Linked DNA regions of Coturnix japonica. The protein of the gene in region 2 purifies or fractionates together with the protein of the main gene of each other region. This does not show direct contact. Links are inferred from orthologs where the notes say so. Each region holds a gene or a part of one and is shown on either strand. Other genes may lie near its edges.

Evidence for each region.
Region 1: the proteins of PINK1 (region 2) and VIM purify together in Homo sapiens (affinity purification with mass spectrometry; 3 studies listed by BioGRID and IntAct, with this or other methods). This does not show direct contact. The link is inferred for Coturnix japonica from reciprocal best matches to the Homo sapiens genes PINK1 and VIM.

Annotation. Positions count from the first base shown.
Region 1 is NC_029517.1:18,027,870-18,037,522, forward strand, and holds the start of VIM (vimentin), read right to left. Parts: upstream 5,580-9,653; 5' UTR 5,498-5,579; coding exon 4,953-5,497; intron 4,897-4,952; exon of another isoform or gene 4,876-4,896; intron 4,859-4,875; coding exon 4,798-4,858; intron 1,593-4,797; coding exon 1,497-1,592; intron 1,360-1,496; coding exon 1,198-1,359; intron 731-1,197; coding exon 605-730; intron 1-604. UniProt on the Homo sapiens protein: Vimentins are class-III intermediate filaments found in various non-epithelial cells, especially mesenchymal cells. Vimentin is attached to the nucleus, endoplasmic reticulum, and mitochondria, either laterally or terminally.
Region 2 is NC_029536.1:4,262,036-4,271,960, reverse strand, and holds the start of PINK1 (serine/threonine-protein kinase PINK1, mitochondrial), read right to left. Parts: upstream 5,713-9,925; coding exon 5,695-5,712; exon of another isoform or gene 5,451-5,694; intron 5,247-5,450; coding exon 4,860-5,246; intron 4,067-4,859; coding exon 3,800-4,066; intron 3,556-3,799; coding exon 3,452-3,555; intron 2,426-3,451; coding exon 2,243-2,425; intron 1,887-2,242; coding exon 1,723-1,886; intron 911-1,722; coding exon 783-910; intron 329-782; coding exon 92-328; intron 1-91. UniProt on the Homo sapiens protein: Serine/threonine-protein kinase which acts as a sensor of mitochondrial damage and protects against mitochondrial dysfunction during cellular stress.

The DNA.
Region 1 (9,653 bases), on a different chromosome or scaffold from region 2:
ACAATTACAGTTCAGCCACTCCTAATGGCAAGGCCCTTCATTACTTAAATAAGAAAAAGCATGAAGGGAAGTTGAACAACAGTATCCTTTCTGAAAAGGCTCAAACATGCCCCCCTTTTATCATCTCCTTATCCTCCCCTTGTGAAGCCTTGTGAGTGAGGTGTCTGATGAGACACGTTTAACATTATGCTACCAGACAGCAAAGCAAACCCCCACAGTAAGTCAAACACATACAGTACAAGTCAGCACGCAGATAGTACTTAGTGAGGGAGTCTACCGGTGTACTAAACAGTTACCTCCATTTCAAGCCAGCCTTTCAGGCAACTAGATTCAAGAAAGTACAAGATCTGCACTTTTCCACTGCTCCCTTAGGCTTCGTATAGCTCATTCTGTAATGTTTACACCTTGAGAAAGACCAGCTCAGTACAGCAATCTGAGCAGTGCACTACACAGTACATGCAGACAAATGGAGCCCAATGAGTCTTTTTCAGGAAGGATGGGTACACTGCTGCCTTGTACGGGAGATCAGCTGCAGCCACGTCCATCCACTGAACTACAGCACAGTGCTTAAAAAGCTGCATCAGGAAGAACATCATCTACTTACACTTCCTTTAAGGGCATCAACTTCACAGGTGAGAGACTGAATCTGTCTGCGGTATTCATTAGCTTCTTGTTTGGCCTGGCGCAGGGCATCATTGTTCCTATTAGCAGCTTCGGAGAGATCTGCAAACTGTAGAAACACCCAGTTTGGTTAGCATAACTCCTCATTAAAATGGTGTAACAGGCTACTTCTAGACCCAGGATTTGGAAGCAACTGAAGCCATTACAGGGATGTTCTAGCACATGAAATATTTAAACGTGAACATTACACTGAACTTCTCTATTCCTGATTGTTATGTTTCAGATCCTTTCATGCATTTATTCATTCCTTTCCTAAGTATATACTTAAGAACTGCCTCCAGCTCCAAGAATAGGGAAGAACAGGAAACGAGCCCATTAGTTTGATGCTGCACTTAGGGCACAAGTAATTTTTCCAACTGTATTCTTCCCAGATCAATAAGTTTAAAGACTACCCTACTCTGCGGCTGTGCTAGCATTCAGTACAGAAGGAACACTGAGTGCTACAGCAAAACTGTTACCTAAAATTCATTTGAATGCCCGCTACATCTGTATAATCCTACAACACATTTTACTTACTTTGGACTTGTACCACTCTTCAGCTTCCTGAAGATTCTTAGCAGCAACACTTTCATATTGTTGACGAACATCACGCAGGGCAGCAGTAAGATCAGGCTTAGAAACATCCATATCGATTTGGATGTGCTGTTCCTGGAGTTGAGCCTGCAGTTCCCGGATTTCCTTAGAGAGAAGGAGACAGTGTTAATAAACAACACTATACAGAAAATGCATAGGTTAGGACTCGGGGCCAGAGCCAGAGAGTTTAGTTGTTCACTTGACTGACAGTGCCCAGACACAGACCTCATTATTCAGCTTACCTCATCATGAAGCTTCTTCAAGAAGACAATTTCTTCTTGCAGGGACTCAACTTTGCGCTCAAGATCAAGGCGCGCCAGAGAAGCATTGTCAACATCCTGATCAGAGAGAAGAGAACAATTAGTAATCTTATTTTTGCTCCTTCCAGCCCCAGCCTCAGAGATCACTATATGCTGCTTTATCACAACTTTGTGGACTATGCAGCATATGAAGATGTCATCTTTGCTATGTTACTGCTGACACACATCATGGTGGATGAACATTTTGTTCATCTCCTATGGACTCCTCAGTGACACACCAGAGTCCCTTGGCTCCGCAGATCACAACTTGAAGGCACTCTGTTAAATGTAGGGATGTGTGTGTAAGGACCACAGACTACCCCAAGCAGTTTGACAGATGTCCCTGGAGGAAAAGGTATGAGCATAAACACAAATGGAGTCAGTCACTGCTGCCTACACCCTCGCATTAGCTGGCAAATACTCCACCCTTTGCTGGACAGAGATAGTCTTAATCAACAGCAAAAATTCATTTAAGGCACAAGAGATGATATGCCACGAATGTTACATGGAAACAGTGTTAATTTGTTCAAAAAATAACTGAAAATTAACCATGGATCAGTAACTTCTTACATTTTAAAGACACGAGTAAAGCACTTTATAAAGGGAAGACATCCTTTCACATTGGCTGCCCAGTTTTGTTCCTATGGTATTAATATAAGCATCCTGTTTTCACAACTTGCATTACAGCCAGTCTGTATTTTGTCCAGAACATAAACATTACTCATCAGCAGCACTCACTATTACAACACCTCTGAAACAGGAAAAGTTTTCTTTAGACTATCAGGACGCCATCCTTTGGTTTACTCCTATCCCGGGATTAAGTTTTTTGCACCAGAAGAATTCTCCAGCATTCAATATGCAGCAGAAAGCCCCTTTGATGTGTTACGAAAGTTTCTTATCAACTCCAGTTGCACACCACAGTTCATCTTGGCTCTGTTTTCCAGTTCAGAAAAAAAAATGAATTCCTTAACGCATTTGTTCTCCTCCCAAACTCCAAGACCATTCTAGAAGGAAATTACACAACTATGACCTAACATGTTTACATGACTACTGAGAAATCCAAACACTTGCCAGTGGATTTTGCACAAGCCTCAATACTAAAAGGGATTATTTTTTTCCCAGATTCAAAGAGCTACAGAAGTTATAGCAACCTCTAATATGCAGAAAGCATCTTAAACTGGAGGCTTGTTCAGTACGTAATGTGCATTTCACTGTATTTCCGCTAAGTGCATTTACTCTGCACACTTTAGAGCCATGTAGATGAAAAAGGTATTAATAGCCTGAGCAAACAAGGTTTCAGTCACACATATGAGTAATTGGACTGACTACATATTGATTTTATCTGAAGAGAGTCTTTAATGGCTGAACATCCTCATTTATTTCAGGAAAGCCCTTGTTAGCCAGGAGCTGACCTGTGTGCCTTGTCATGGGCTCAGATCTGTTCCCTGCTGTCAGAGCATCTGACAAAGCTGCGGTACATAACTTCCTCATTAATTATGATGCCTCTTTTGTTGCACAAAGCAGTCACCAAATCCCTAGGCTTATTTGATGTAGAACACCCCGCAGTATACGTGGAAAGTAATGTGGCATCTCTTGTTTAGAGGAAAAAATTCAGTAACTCTCAAGCGTACTTTCTCTTCTAAATCTGCACGTTAGAACTACTCTGTTGTGGCAGGGAAAAACTGGGTATACTTTTGTTCAAACCAAACCCAGCAGCATGCACTATTTGTGCCACTGATCAACTCAGACAATGATCTGCAGTTTTTACATGTAAAGCTGAGTGGTTACATGGGCTCAGTGCATGGGCAGAGCAGCTGGAGGCTGAGTGACAGGGCAGGGAAGCAGACAATGAATGTGAGGCACGCACAGCACAGCTCACATAATAGCCCGCAGCCTTTACAAAGCTGTGTTGCTTGGAGGGAGAGGAAGACGTGCCTTGAAGTGCACCAGAGAAGCACGCATGATTGAACTAGCTTTAAGTCAAAGGAGCTTGTGCTTGAACTCTAGTAATTTGAAACAAAAAGGGGAAATGCATCTGCACTGACTTGGCAACTACTTGGATGGGCTCAGCCCTAGTAACACAGCAGCCTGGGTTAAAGGCAATACCTGGAACTGCTATTTCAAGCTTCAGCCCCCACAATGTCAGTGGACACCTCATTCCCAGCCCCTGCCATGTGTCTGCTCCCACACTGCCCCACTAAGACCACCAGGGAAATGCTAAAAACCAAATGACAGCTTCCTACATGGTGACACCTACTATTGCCTATGCAGAGCTCTAAGATGGTCAGCCTGCGCCCAGCTGTCTGGAGATACAGGGCAGCTGCTTCCAGCTCAGAGGAGTGATAGCAGTGTTTTTTCACCCCAGCAGTTTTCAGGAAGTTCTGTTGTTTTGAGAAGGCACATTCCTAAAGTTCTGCTCGTCCAACCAGCCCTCAATCCACGCCAAGAGCTGGTTTTGCACAAATCAAAACTTAAGCTCAGAACTTTCCGCAGGCTTCACAGTTGGTTCTGGCTGTCACATCGGCTTTGGTTCAGCTGTGTGACACCGCAGCTTCCTACAGACCAAACTCCGGTGCACTGTATCTTACATTAACATCTTTGCTTATAAGGGATTGAATTCTACATTCTTAATGCACATCAAGGGGATACAGACAGCTGCTGTGAGCTCATCCCGAGGAACCCATTGTCTGCTTCTGATCAGCAGACACCACTGATAGGAAATACTTCAAATCTGGGACAGTTTCCTGAGTGTGCAAAGTGATGCGGCTCATCCAGAACCGAGTTCAGTATTTTACAGAGTCTCCCCCAGGAACGTGCCCCCACCATTACACATTCGGTAGGAATGCAGCCCACGGCAGCCTCCCCTCCAACACAAAGGGATCCATTATTTCAATCTGCTGCCACCACACCGGCCATAATGCCTGGATCTGCATTCCTCGGTGAATCCCATAGAAACCATTAATACCCTTCAGCCCGGCGCGCAGATGGCTGCGCCTTTTCACAACTATTGGATCAGAAAGCGATTCCACGTCGGAGCGCTTTTGTGGAGCCGGCCAGACCGGGATAAAGTGGGACAATAGCCTCACCCTCCCCTCCGGACTGCGGCACCCCCCTAAAGAAAACAACGGGGAGACCAAGGGGCTGCGCCGAGCGCCTTTTGTGCGGGCAGAGCCAGCCCGCATCGCCAGCCCCCAGCCCCAGCCCCGACCCTCCGCCCCCAGCGCCCCGCGGCGGCCGCGCCCACCTGTCGGAAGGACTGCAGGGTGCTCTCGGCCTCCTCCCGCTGCAGCATCTCCTCCTGCAACCTGCAAGCAGCGACACACGGCCGACGTGAGGGAGGGAGGTGAGGGATGTGAGGGTGGGTGCCCGCCCCGCGCCCAGCCCCGGCCCCGCACTCACTTCTCCCGCAGGCGCATGATGTCGTCGGCCAGGTTGTCGCGCTCCACCTCGACTCGGGCCTTGTCGTTGGTCAGCTGGTCCACCTGCCGCCGCAGCTCCCGCATCTCCTCCTCGTACAGGTCGCCCAGACGGGACGTGCCTTTGCCCTTGAGCTGCTCCAGCTCGGCCAGCAGGATCTTGTTCTGCTGCTCCAGGAAACGCACCTTCTCGATGTAGCTGGCGAAGCGGTCGTTGAGCTCCTGCAGCTCCACCTTCTCGTTGGTTCGGGTCTCCCTGAACTCCGAGTTGATGGCGTCGGCCAGGGTGAAATCCACGGCGTCGTGCATCCTCATGGGCGGCATGCTGCTCCGCAGCCGCACCGACGTCGCCTTGGTGGCGTACACGCCGCCGGGCGAGGCGGACACGTAGCGGGCGCTGCTGGGCCGGAGGGCGCTGCCCAGGGAATAGCGGGTGGTGGACGTGATGTAACGGGTGCCGCTGCTGGGCCGGCTGCCCCCGCCGAACATGCGGCGGTACGAGGAGTTCTTGCTGCTGGTGAAGCTCATGGCGGCAAGGAACGGAGCGGCTTTGTAATCCGGGAGCGGAGCGGGGCTCGGAGCGCGGCGGGCGAAGAAGGGCGGTGGCCCCAACTCGGGGCCCCTCTTATGGGGCGCCGCCGCCCCGCCCCGCCCCGTCCGTCTCCAATGGCCGCGTCCGAGCGGGGAGGGGCTGGGGGGGAAGGGGTCCGTGGTTACAGCTCGGGGACAAAGGCGGCGGGACACGGGGCGGTTGCCGAGGTTCCTTGGGGCCCTACGCCCCTCCGACAGCGCAGTGATTCCGAGGGCAGGACGGGCTGCGGTGCTCCGACAGCGCTCCCAGCACGGGCCGAGCGCTTAAAAATGCGTCTGTGCAACTTTGTGCGAGCCCCGTCCCTTTCTCCGTATCTTGCTGAAAGTCTCCGGGATCGGGGGAGCGATGCTCGCTATTCACTAAGGGCTCCCAGACATCCAAAGCGGGCAGACAGAAACACGAACCGTCGATAGGTTTGGGGTTAGCTGCTTCCGACGGCACCCGCAGCCTCCCGTCCCGTGCTCAGGGCTCAGCGGCTCCCGGGGGCCCGCCCTCATTGATGCCGGCGGAGCTGCGCCCATTGCGGACGGGCGCTGCCGCACTGCCACGGCTGCAGCAGGGACACCGCTCTGCCTTCGGGCGCTGGGCTCCTGGTCACTTGGAGCGGTTTAACCAAGGGTCTGTTTGCTTTTAGTTTCTGTAGGCACACGGTCATTGTTTCAATAAAGAGCTCTTACAAAAAGCTCGTTAGAAGTGATCCCCAAAGAGCCTCAAAGGCAGGACATGCCTCATGCTTCTACTGCAACTGCACTATCGCAGTCGGGCTGCCAAGTGAGACAGGAGAACCAATAGTGTTGGCGTAAGATTGGATGGGAAAAACCGGAGCAGCAGTAAAAGAATTCCCCAAGACCATTTTAAGCGTGAGTGCGGAGTGGTGTAAGGGAGGTGGTGAGATCCCTGTCCTTTAGGGAACGTAAAGCTGGGCTGCCCAAAGCCCGAGGCACGTTCTCCTAGGGAACTATCCCACACTGATGCATCTGATTGGTGACACCATTCTCCTCCTTGCTCTAAAAGTGACTGACACAATGCAAAGCTATCTGCACTTATGGGGTGTAATGCTACCACTGGATTTAGTTTTTCTAACTTGCAGCCCTGCAGAAGCAATGTCTATGTTGGGAGTTCTGATAAACCTAAACATGAGCAGCGGGCAGGGAGTGAAGTGATGTCTGTACCCCAGCTCACAGTAGGGTTGGCTATTGCCCTTCAGGTGTTGTACCTTATGGGAAGAATCAGAGCCCTAATATTTAATTAAAGTTGTAGTGGGAGATTTTTGGTTGGCTGCTCAGTGCCTGTGTTCCTTTCTGTGCTGTAGTTTGGTTCTGATGGCGATAAGAAGTAAAGGAACACAGGCAAAAAGCTCAGAGGGAGGCAGCAAGCGGCTCCCAAGGGAAGATGCTGCACTCAGCTCACCGGGAGCTGTCACAGATTGCTGGGCTGCTAAGGTGCACTTGGCTCCATCTGCTTCTCTTAATGACCCACAGCTTGTTTATGCTCCACAAAACCCTTATGGCAACTGCCATCCTTCACTCCGACAGTGCTCTGCCCCTGAAATTCAGGGAGGTGTTTGTTCTGGTAAAGAAACAGGACCTCTTTCCCTCTTGTTTTGGATATAATTTTCATATGTTTGTGTCACTGGTGCCATATGTGCTCTTGGCCATCTGCCTCATTGCTGTTTCTCTGTGAAATTTCCCTAACAATACAAAGATAGTCAGTTATAAGGACTGCAATAAACCCCTCTGTACCTTCTGCTGGTGGGCTCTTACACAGGTGTGGAAATGAAGTTTCTTATACACCTGCAATGAATGTAGCCCATATTTGCATCTCAAGCCCAAAGGGGAATGTGAATTGGCCTCTGTGAAAGATCTCTGCAGTTCTTGTCAGGAAAGTCTGAATCTCTGCAGATTCCCATAGCTGCAGGAATCACAGAGAGCTGAGGAGGGAGGGCAGAGGGGAGCTGATGGCTGCAGCCAAGAGGATACAGATATACTGCTATGTACTGAAAATCTGCTACACTAAGAATGAAAATATCCCTGTAATAGTCTGGAAAGACTTTTAGTGAGGGTTCTGCTTTGAAGTGTGAAATGATTATTTTTTTCCCCCCTGAAAGTATATAATGACCCATAAGCCTAAGACATCCAGCCAAAACATCCTGCCATGCAAATGCAGTTCCCTTTGTTGTCGGTTTGATAAAGCAACCCAGAGTCCTTTAGGGAGCAAGGACTGGAAGGCATCGGCCTACAGAGGCTTTCCTTCACACTTCCCCCAGGTCCATGAATATTGAACGCTCTCTGTGCAAGAGGGACTTTTTCAACAGGAGAATATGAAAGAGGGTTAATGTCCTGCAGCAGCTGAATAGGGAATCTCCATAATATTCAGACACACAAGTGCTGGGGCTGCTGCTTGACTGAACGCCTTAACTTCTGTTGAAAAGAGCACTTCCTCCTTCAGTTGTCGTTTGAGAAGTCTCGGGCTTCTCTGGTTTTGAAAGCAGAAAGGCCCCAGGTTCTCGTTTCCGAATAAATAGTTATAAATTCTGTTGTAACCGTTCTGCTGGGGCAGTCCTTCCCTCTGGCTGGGTGCTGGGTGTAGCTGAGCCCAGAGGAAAGACGGTGTTCCCCGCAGCCTGGTGCAGCTCTGTACATTGTGCTGAGAGCACCTCAGGAAAAGCTGCTTCTTCTGATCCCCAAGAACCTTGAGAGAAGCTGCTGTGGGTTTGTGAACCCCCAGATTTACTAACACCTAAGTGTGTGTCCAGGCCTGTAAGCCCCCTTTTCTGAATAACTCGAATTTATGATCTCAGGAATTGAATTGAAAATTCTCTTATGAAAGTTATTTTTCAAATTGCATTGTCTATGGTAGTTGTCATTGTTACAAAATACAGCAAATGTCTATGAGTATCCACTGATTTTTACAAGGAAATGAGTACATTACATACTCAAGACTAACCACGTCTTTCTGCAGTACTGTATTTTAATGTCAGATGAACGATATGAAACCGGTGGGTCTTTCATCACTGGGGAAGTGTTCTGATTATGACTTGTGCCGCCCAGTTGCATGCTATTATTACTGTTGCACACAAAGTTCCCCTCTATTACGGTTTCTGGTTGGCAGAGCAGGGTATTTTCTGTCCCCTTTTGTATCTCTTTTACTGAAACAGGCAATCATTTCCAAAGCCAGAACACCTCTGCCCAAGTCGTGGGGTTGTCTCCAACAGTATGCAACATTCTAGCAGCACAGAGCAGAGAACTGGAAGTTTTTCAGTTCTTTCATAGGTATAACAATAAATGTAATCCTTCCCTTAAAGAAAAGAAACCAACTGGAATGCTCTGACTCACTGCATTTAATGGCAGTAGCACTAACTGATGACTCTCAGCAGTATCTTTAGCAGTGACTGGGACATAAAGAACAAGATTTTCCAAGCTGACAAAAGGCATGACATACTCTGAGGCTCACTGCTCAACCTTAAACTCTAAGCAGAACTAAATGCCAGAACATGCCAAGTGCTTCAGTCTTGATTTGGGTCTCCAAAATAAAATGTAGTTTGAAATTTCAGCTATTTGTTTTTCTTGTTTTATGAAGCTTGCATTTTGCTGAAGTCAAAATGGGCAGAATTCTCAGAGGACAGAAGAACAAGAGAGGTGCATGAGGATTTTAAGTGTAAATGAGAGTAGTTACACTGTTATTTCGATCCAGTTAATTTTTATTGACATGAAAGTCCTTTTTACTCAGAGAAACTGGATTTTTAGGAGACATTTATTGCAGTAGGAATAAGAAAATAGGTATTTGGGTAGCCATGTATATGCACGTACATAAGAAAACAAAGCACACAACTGAGAAATTATGGCAATGGAAAGGGCAACAGAAATCGTAGACTGAGGAAGACATCAGAATAAATGAACATGGTATAATCAGGGCCCATTTCTTCCTATTTTTGTGAGGGGGGAAAAAGGCACCAAATTCAGTAGCAGAAGGATGTCAATTCTGAAATCTCATTGCTGAGTGGAAAAATAAGAAATATGGTACTGAAATCTGCACCGTGGTTTAATTATTGTATAGCAAGATGCAGAAAGTAGGAATGAGAGAATATGTAGG
Region 2 (9,925 bases):
GCTTTGAACAAAAAAAGCCTTTAGTTATTATTATTCAGGCAACTACACATGAACAGCAACCACTGACTTCCTCAAGGCAGCAGTTTCTGACCTTGCTTGGATCCCTCTGAAGCAGCATCTTTATCACTTGCTTCACCTCACAGGGCACAGCATCAGGCAGGTTTGGCAGCTCCTCCTCACGGTAACTTCTGCTTTCCAAGAACGAGTCTCCACAGCTGTAGAAAGGATTGGGCAGGCCTAGGATTTCATAGGCAATTGCTCCAACAGCCCAGGCATCAGCTTTGCTGTAGTCAATCACCATGCCTGGACCAGCTGATGCTGTGGTCACCTGCATGACAAGTCCAATGAGATGAAAGAGTTACAACAGAGAGCTCTAGATGAATATTTTCTGTAGGCATGCCTTAGGTTTTCACTGCTTCATCATCCCACAACCACCTTGAACTTGGTTCAAAAGCCACGTGCTGCCCCAATGCAAGGACTGCTGCAGGAACTCCCCTAACAGCTACATGGAATTGAGCCTGAGAAAACGGTTACAGAACAAACTTTCTTGTGGGAAAAGTCAACACTGCCTCAAAACACCAATGGATTTTCATTTGGTGGTCAAAGTACCCATTTGACAAATACTGGGTGTGGATTCTAAGAAAATTCAATTCATTCTATGCAGACCCAATCCCACCCTTTGCCAAGTTCTCATATATTTGCACCTCAGCTGGTGCTGAAGCTTTTATCCCCAGAAACGGCACAAACCCACAACCAGCAGCACCAGCTGTGGGAAGATTTACCTCAGGTGGCATAAGAGAGCTATTGCCACCACGATCCATGTCAATGCTGGTGAAGGGCAGCCTCAGACCAATGCTGTCATCTGCCAAACAGCAACCGAAGTCTGTGATCACCAGCCGGGGGCAGCCAGCTGCAAACAACAGGGACAGCAGTGAGCATTCAGCTTGGGGGCACCCAGCTGCAAGAGACAAGCACCAGGAGCAGGCACTATGGATACCCTAACAACCGGGACACATAAGGTAAGGAACTCTTCAATGATGAAAACAATCTTTTCACCTTCATCTTTACCTACAGCAAAAGCTATAAAGATAGAATCTGAGCTAAAGGCTGGAGGAATCTGGCATGAGTTCACAGTTCTTGTCCTGAAGACAAGCCAAACACTGCAAAGCAAAAACATTACTTCTCCTGACTCTGAAAGGGAAAAATCAATGCTTTAAATCATTCCTAACTGCATTCAGTGGAGCTCCAGAGAAGCATTTCCTTCAAGAGAGATGGCATTAGCATCACTGAAAGCCCGCCACAGCTGCTGCACCAAGACTTTCAATTACAAAGATCTGGCTCCATGCTGTTGTTTCCTGCCCGTTTGATTTTCAGTCACAGTGAAAAAGAGCTCAGGTAATTAAAATCTCAGGTTAACGGGGCCAACAGGAGAAGCTGGTGACAAAAAAAATGCTGCTTTTGGTTTGAATACTCTGTCAGTTCCCTGCCTTTCAACAGATGTGGAGCCATGGCAGGATACAGCAGCATTTTAAGAACTGCTTTGTGCTGTCTGGCCAGTGAGGAATGACACAGCCTAATGCCAGCAATGCGAGCATGGCAGTCCTGTATGCCTTCAAGCCAACACTTGCTTTGCTTGTGCAGCACATCCTGCACCTCTCCCTCAGGTTACAGCACAACCTTCTATGTCCACAGACACAGCCTTACACCCAGTGATCTACATACCAGAATCAAACTCAACCAGGATGTTGTCAGACTTCAGGTCTCTGTGTGCTATCCCGTGTCGAACGAGATGATCCACGGCTTCCAACAACTGCAAAATCATCATGGTGGACAGTCGGGTATCTGGGCTGTTGTCCTTCAAATACTGGCACAGGGTGCACGGATAGCTGGTCAGAACACAGATGATACCTGAATTAGCATCCCAGAAGCCTTTCCTTTCCCATTTGACTTCAGTGCTGTCTGGCTGGGGATACACTGCACTTAGAAGTGCCAAATTCCTCCTGAACTTTGCCATGCCTTTCAATTTCTGAGTCACAAGCACAGACAGCTTGCCTTTATTGTTGAACAAGAGCTAAAATCTCAAGGATCTCAACAGCTCTCAGAAGCCACGTTTCCAAGAGTGTACTCTGACTTCTGGCAACAACCCAGGCCAAATCTCTAGCAGGACCCATGCAGCAGAACACACAGCTCTGCTGGGCAACCCCACAAAGTTCCAGCCCCCAACAAGCTTCTCCCCACCTACTTTTTCATCACTAAGAAGAGTGTGTGGCTGCGACCGATCCCTCTGGGATTCAGGCTCACTGGAAGAACATCAGGATAGTCTGTGAGGGCTCCAGGCAGCAACGGGACAGAGGATGTGAAAGCTCGGATCACCTGGATTATATTTGGATGAGGTCTCAATCTCTTCCTCCCAAGGACAGGTTCTCTGTGTAAAGATACAGACATAAGTTACACTGATCTCTATGACCTCCAGGGTTATTTTTCATTACTATGGTACATCCCCTCCACCAAAGGGTTCCAAAGCAGCAGATAAATATGTCTGTTCTGCTGTCACCTTGTGACTGGATTTCCTGCAGTGTGATGGATAAGCAGAAACACTCACACTCAACATGCAGCCTTTCATTTTCTACTAACCCTGTCCTTTTAGACTGAAAATAAAGGCCAGATTCACACTGCCACATATCACCTTAGACCTCGTATTTACTAGCACAGACAGGAAGCATTCAGGTTACTGACTATGCAACTGCAAAACAGAGCTCTCCTCTCTGAACATCAGATAGTCCTTTGGCTTCATTGCATTCCCAGGGTAACAACACACCAAGCAGCATTTGTTATTCATCTATACTGTCAACTGAGACATATTTCAAGTGTAAATCAGGCAGTCTGGACTGTGGAGTACGTTCTCACTGCTTTTCCAACAGTTAACTTACTCATTATCAGAGAGCAATGCAATTTACATACTTTACACATGGGGAAGCTGAGGCACAGTGCCCCATCAGACCCAAAGCAGATGGGTTCCTAATCATCCCATGTCCTTCCAACACTCTTCAAGACTAAGACACTGGAGGGAAGCACACGGCCAAGCTGCAGGTATCTCCTGCATGCCAAGTGCTCCTCAAAGCAAACAAGACTTTTAAATTACTATTTGAACAGCACCACTGCTACGCTGTTCCCTCACTAGAGGGAAGTCACTAGGATAGGCAGAAGCGTGCTCTTGCATGGCAACTGAGGCATACAGCACCAACAAAGGCAGTGCCATTTAGCTAAGGCACACACACACATGGAATAATCCCAAGGATTCATGCTCAGTTCTTCCCATAAGATATCACAGAAACCTCCAGCTGCATTCTGTACAGCACAGACGTGCTGCAGAACGAAACCGATGGATCAAGCTGGATCAAATTAGCACATAATACCCTGAGAACAGCTGTCATTGCGATGGATACTGTACCTGCGATGGGAGATGGCTCCATATTCCCCAGCTAAAGCAGTCTGTGTGGCTGGAACGAGCTCTCGGTGCATATTGCGCAGGATGCCTTCACTTGAAGAGTCAGCCTGCAACAGCAACGTGCTGTCAGCTCCACAGGAATAATGACTGGCTGTGTGACTTGTCACTAACAACAGGCATTCAATGTCTTGTCCTTATCGAATGGCTTAGACTGGAGAGGACCTTAAAGATCATCCAGTTCCAAGACATTATGTAGGCTGGGTGGCCCCTCACCACATCAGGTTGCCCTGTGTAACCTAACTCTGGGCATATCCAGACACACAAGGAGGATGTTAAGAGCTGACTCCTTACCGAGATGTTCCACATCATTTTGATAGCCAGGGGGAAGGCAGCTTGCTGTTGGCTTTTATCTGCCGGCTCCTTTTCAGACACAGGCAGAGCTGAGCTCTGTGTGCTCCCCTGGCGATGGAGGGATGAAGGAATAGTTGCTTCATAGACAGCAGCATTGCAGCCCTTCCCAAGGGGCTGCCCGATGAGATAATCCTCCAGCTTAAAGCCCCGCCATCGCAAAGAGCTCAGCGGATCTTTCTGCGCCTTGTTCTTCCCAACAAACACCGTCTGAAAGGAAAAACGAAGGAAAAGTGGAATGAGAAAAGCATTCAGTTTATTCAAGACTATTCAGTTTATTGACAGGCTGAGGGAGTTGGGTTTGTTCAGCCTGGAGAAGAGAAGGTTGCGGGGTGACCTCACTGCAGCCTTTCAATACCTGAAGGGAACTTACTCCCAGGAGGGGAGTAAACTCTTCAAAAGGGCTGACAATAGCAGGACACAGGGAAATGGTTTTAAGTTGAAAGAGGGAAGATTTAGGTTGGATGTTAGGGGGAAAGTTGTTTACTAGCAGAGTGGTTAGGCCCTGGAACGGGCTGCCCAGGGAGGTTGTGGATGCCCCGTCCTTGGGGGTGTTCAGGGCCAGGTTGGACGGGGCCCTGGGCAACCTGATCTAGTAAAGGTGTATGTTTGGTAGCCCTGCCAGGCAGGGGGGTTGGAACTACGTGATCCTTGAGGTCCCTTCCAACACGGGTCATTCTGTGATTCTGCAAAGACTGCACAATAAAGGAAAGCTGGAGTGCTTGGAAAGAGCAAAATGCCTTTTAATCAACCAGGAAAGCCCAAGTGACTGTTAAGTGCAAAATGGCCTTATTTTCAACCAGCCTAAAGCACGGGTTGGTACTGAATGGGCTCCGAGATCCCTTCCAACCCAATAATACAGCGATTCCACACACAAAGACAGACCGAAAGCCGCAGCCAGAGGCTGCCATTCAGGCTGTAACCATGGGGACAACAGAACCCCCCTAAGGCTGGAAAAGGCCACTAAGCTCATCACGTCCAACCCCTCCCCGTAGCCCCACACCTGGATCCGGCCACACGCCGCCCTCGCTCTTCGTTGTTCCTCCAACGGCGGCTCCAACAGCGCCAGCCCCAACGCCAACGCCATACAAGGCCCGGCCCGGACCCTCCGCACCGCCATTGCCGCTAGGCCAGCCGGGCGTCTGAAGGAGAAGAAGCGGCCGAATGGCAGCCGGGAAAAGAGGGAAGATGGAGGAACGGCTGAGGGGACAGGAGGGGGGACGGGGATGGGGAGGGGGCGGCGGCCGGGCAGCAGGCGGTAGGCCCGGGATAACAGCACCCGAAACAACATGGCGGCCACCGAGCGCCTCAGGAAGAGGCGGGAAGAAGGCGGAAGCGGAAGGGGCGGGGCTACAGGGAAAGTGGGCGTGGTTATGGGGAGGGGGCGTGGCTATGAGGAAGGGGGCGTGGCTACGAGGAAGCGCGTAATGCGCAATGCGCATGCGCAAGGTGAGGGCTTAAGGTGCTGCTGCAGGTTGCATTGGTGCAGCATGCATTGGTGCATGGAGTGCAGTGAGTGCATGGAGGGCATAGTGCACACAGCACTGAGCACGCAGGGCATGGTCCAACAGGGCACAGAGCACAGCATGCCTCGTTAAAGTAACACGTCATTGGGTTTTGTTCCATTGCTGTTTCATTGTCAAGGAATTGCTCTTTGTCCTCACGAAAGCAAGCAAAAATATAGAGAGAAAGGAGAAAAATAGGCTAAAAAAAGGAGCTGTGGCATCACATTGGCTGCACGGTGAACACAGTGCACAAATGGCTGCTGGATAATGCTGGGAACTGGAGCTGATATTGCTTTTTATCCCCTGTTGGGCTGCATTGGATCCAAGCAACACCCATGGAGCAAACTCCATTGTCCCCAATGGAGTCAATTGCATAGAGGGGGAGTGATCCAAGGTGCTGAAAGGGAAATGCAGGTGTGCAGTTCATGCCTTCTGCAGGTCCTCGGGGCCAAAGGAGAGTGGCAGGAGCTCCCGTAGTGTCTTCACAATGTAGGTGCCATCAGGTTTGGTCAGGTAGATGTCCCAGTCTGTGCCAAACTACAAGGAGAAAAGCAGGAGAGAGGGTCAATAGGGAATCCATGCTGCAGCACCCACAGCTCAGCTCAACTGCTGGGCTCCCTTAGTTTGTTCAGCCCAGAGATGGAGGGGTGGCCCCCATCCATGGTGGCCTGCAGCTCCTTGTGGCCCTCCATGCCCCCAGCATGGCAGGGGCTCCACTCACCTCTCTCATCACCTGTCTGCAGGCCCCGCATGGCGTGATGAAGTCTGACATGTTACTGCCAAAGCAAAAGAGCCACACCAGGTTCAGTATCACTCCATCCCAAAAGCCAAAGGGAATCAGACATAGAAACCCAAAGAGATTCCCCCAGACCCAAAGGGATCGCTCCAAAACTAAAGGTGGAACCACACTGGAAAAGAAAGGGATCACCCAAAACCCAATGAAATCACCCAGAACCTAAATAGGGCACCTCCCCAAAGGGTATTACCCAAAACCCAAAGGGGGCACCACCACAAAGCCCAAAGGGGATGCCCTAAAATCAAAGGGGGAATCACCCCCCAAACCAAAGAGATTGCCTCAGAATTAGAGGGAGAACCATCCCAATAAGCAAAGGGATCACCCCAAACTCAAAGGGGGTACCTCCCCAAAGCCCAAAGGAATAGCCAATAATCCAAAGGGCGGAACACTCCAAAACCCAAAGGGATTCCCCAAAACCCAATGGGACTGCCCAAAACTCAAAGGGAGAACCACCCCATTGAACAAAGCGATCAGCCAAAACCCAAAGTGGGCAGCACCCCAAAAGGGAGCACTACGCCAAAACCCCAAAGAGATTGAACAAAACCCAAATGGGGCATCACCCTAAAACCCATAGAGTGATGTGGTGCCATGGGTGCCAATGGCCTCACCTGGCAATGGCCATGGCCTTGAAGCGTGTGTGCCCTTCGGAGATGGCTTTTAGGATGGCTGCACGCTCAGCGCACATCCCAAGGCTGTAGCAGGCATTCTCTACGTTGCATCCTATAGGGAAGCACCAGCATCACTCACCACCCCATAAAGCAAAAGGGAAGCATTCCAAAAAGGAAAGGGATTGACTAAAAAGCAAAGAGGGAAGCATGCCAAGAAGCAAAGGGATTGCATAAAAGTCAAAGGGGACACTGCCCCGTAAAGCAAAGGGAACACCCAAACAGTAAAGGGATTGCCCCAGAAGAAAAGGGGGAACCACCTCAAAACCTAAAGGGTGAAACACTCCAAAAGCCAAAGGAATCACCCAATGCCCAAAGGGAGCACCACCCCAACACCCAAACAGACCAACCCAAAAGCAAAGAGGGGACCAACCCAAAAAGCAAAGGAGGAACCACCCCAGAAAGCAAAGAGGGAACCATCTGAAAACCTAAAGGTGCAACGCTCCAAAAACAAAAGGGATTGCCCAAAACCCAAAGGGAGAACCACACAAAAACCCAAAGGAACTGCCTCAAAATCATAGGGGGACCACCAAAACACAAAGTGTTTGCCCCAAAATCACTGGGGGAACCACCCCAAAGCCCAAAGGAGGCACTAAAAGCCCCCCAGAAAAACATAAAAGAGATTATCAAAGCGAATGCCACCCTAAACCCCAAGGGAATCACTCCAAACCCAAAGGCTCCACCACCCCAAAACCCCACAGGGCTCAAGCCAAACCCAAAACAGCCAACACCCCAGAACCCATAGTGGGGGGCACCATCCCAAAGTGACCCCCCGGAACCCAAATAGACCATTACCCCACAACCCCAAAGCAATATCTCACCGGAGAAGATCTCCCCATTGGCGGTGAGCAACGCGGCACCCACAGGGAAGCGGCTGTAGGGGCAGTAGGCACAATCTTTGGCCTCACGACAGCGGCGAAGCAGCAGCTGAAGGCACTCACTGCCCTCCATGTCTGCACTGCCTGCCCCACACGATGACGCCGACGTGGTTAAATATTGCCCTGATTGCAACGCCCTGTAGGGATAACGCCCCACGTGTGCGCTTGGGCATCATCCCCAGCCTGGAGTTATTGGGATCAGGGTGGTGGAGGTTGAGCAATTTTTCTCTGTGTTTTCCCTTTTTATGTGTGTGTCTGTGTGTTCTAAGCTGGAGTGTTTTCATACACAGCCTTGTTTTCCTTCCTCCCCAGCAGGAATTTGGTGCCAGGAACGTCCTGGGGGGAGCCACAGAGAGGTCAAAGGGAAGAAAACCATTGGGTTGCAAACAAGAAATAGCACATTTCCCTCTCATCCCTCCCTCCCAACCCTCCCCCGCTCCTCCTCCCTTAGTTTCTCATTGACAGCCAACACACAGCAGGGGAAGCGGATGGAAAGTCTTCCTGACGCTGCCTTCCCCTGCTGCTGCACAATCCTATTGCTGAGCACAGATAAGGACTGTTCTGCGCCATCCTAAGGGGTGGTCACGTCCCCCTTGTGTGGTTGAGAACCATTTCCCATCCCTGATATCCCCATACATGGGGCTAATAGGACGATCCCCTTCCTAGTTCACTCTGAAACCTAATGATGGCAATGGGAAAAAAAAAGGTTATTCCATAGCCAAAATCACCCACACCCCTGTGCTATTTGTAGGACTCAAAGGAGGCACCACCCCAAAAAGCAAAGGGAGGACCACTTGAAAACCTTTAAGGGTGCAACACCACATAAACCAAAGGGATCGCCCAAAACACAAAGTGGGAACCAACCCAAAACCCAAAGGGATTGCCCAAAACATAAAGGAGGATCTAAGGAATCACCCAAATGCCAAAGGAAATACCACACCAGAACCTATAGGGGATACCACCTCAAAACCCAAAGGAATGACACCAAAATCAATGAAGGATCCACCCCAAAACCCAAAGGGATTGCCCCAAAATCAAAGGGGGAGCTACCCCCCAAAAAACAAAGGGATCACCCAAAGCCCAAAGGGAGCACCACCCTAAACCACAAAGGAATCACCCAAACCCCAAAGAAAGAAACACCCCAAAACCCTAATGGGGCACAACACCAAAATCCAAAACAAAAGCTCAAAACCTAAAGGGACTAATACCTCAACAACAAAATGGATCACCCAAAACCCAAAGGGATCACTCCAAAACCACAGGGGACTCCACCCCAAATCCCTAAAGGAATAGCTTGAAACCCAGAGGGAGTAAAACTCCAAAAAACAAAGGGATCGAGCAAAACTCACAGGGGGCAGCACCCCAAAACACAAAGAAATTGCTCCAAGCCCAAAGGGAGTGACACCTCAACACCCAAAGGGAGTGCCCAAAAACCAAAGGGATCAAGAAAAACCCAAAGGTATCAATACTCCAGAAACCAAAGGAACTGCCCCCAAAATCAAAGGGAGAAATGCTGCAAAACAAAAGGGATCAATACTCCAAAAACCAAAGGAATTGCCCCCAAATCCAAGGGGGAACTATCCCAAAACCCAAAGGGATCTCCCCAAAATCAAAGGGAGAATCACTCCAAAAACCAAAGGGATCTCCCCAAAATCAAAGGGGGTAGCACCCCAAAACCTAAAGGGATCTCCCCAAAATCAAAGGGAGACTCACTCCAAAAACCAAAGGGATCTCTCCAAAATCAAAGGAGAATCGCCCTAAAATCCAAAGGGATCTCCCCAAACCTAAAGGGTGCTGCACTGCAAAATCCAAGGGGATCTCCCCAAAATCAAAGGGGAAACCACCCCAAAAACCAAAGGGATCTCCCCAAAATCCAAGGGAGAATCACCCCAAAAACCAAAGGGATCTCCCCAAAATCAAAGGGGAAACCACCCCAAAACCCAAAGGGATCTCCCCAAAATCCAAGGGAGAATCACTCCAAAAACCAAAGGGATCTCCCCAAGCCCAAAGGGGGATGTACCCCAAAATCCAAGGGGGCAGCACCCCAAAATCCAAAGGGGTCTCCCCAAAATCCAAGGGAGAACCATCCCAAAAACCAAACAGATCACCCCAAAATCAAAGGGAGAATCCCCCAAAATCCAAAGTGATCTCCCCAAAATCCAAGGGGAAACTACCCCAAAAACTAAAGGGATCTCCCCAAAACCAAAGGGGGCAGCATCCCAAAA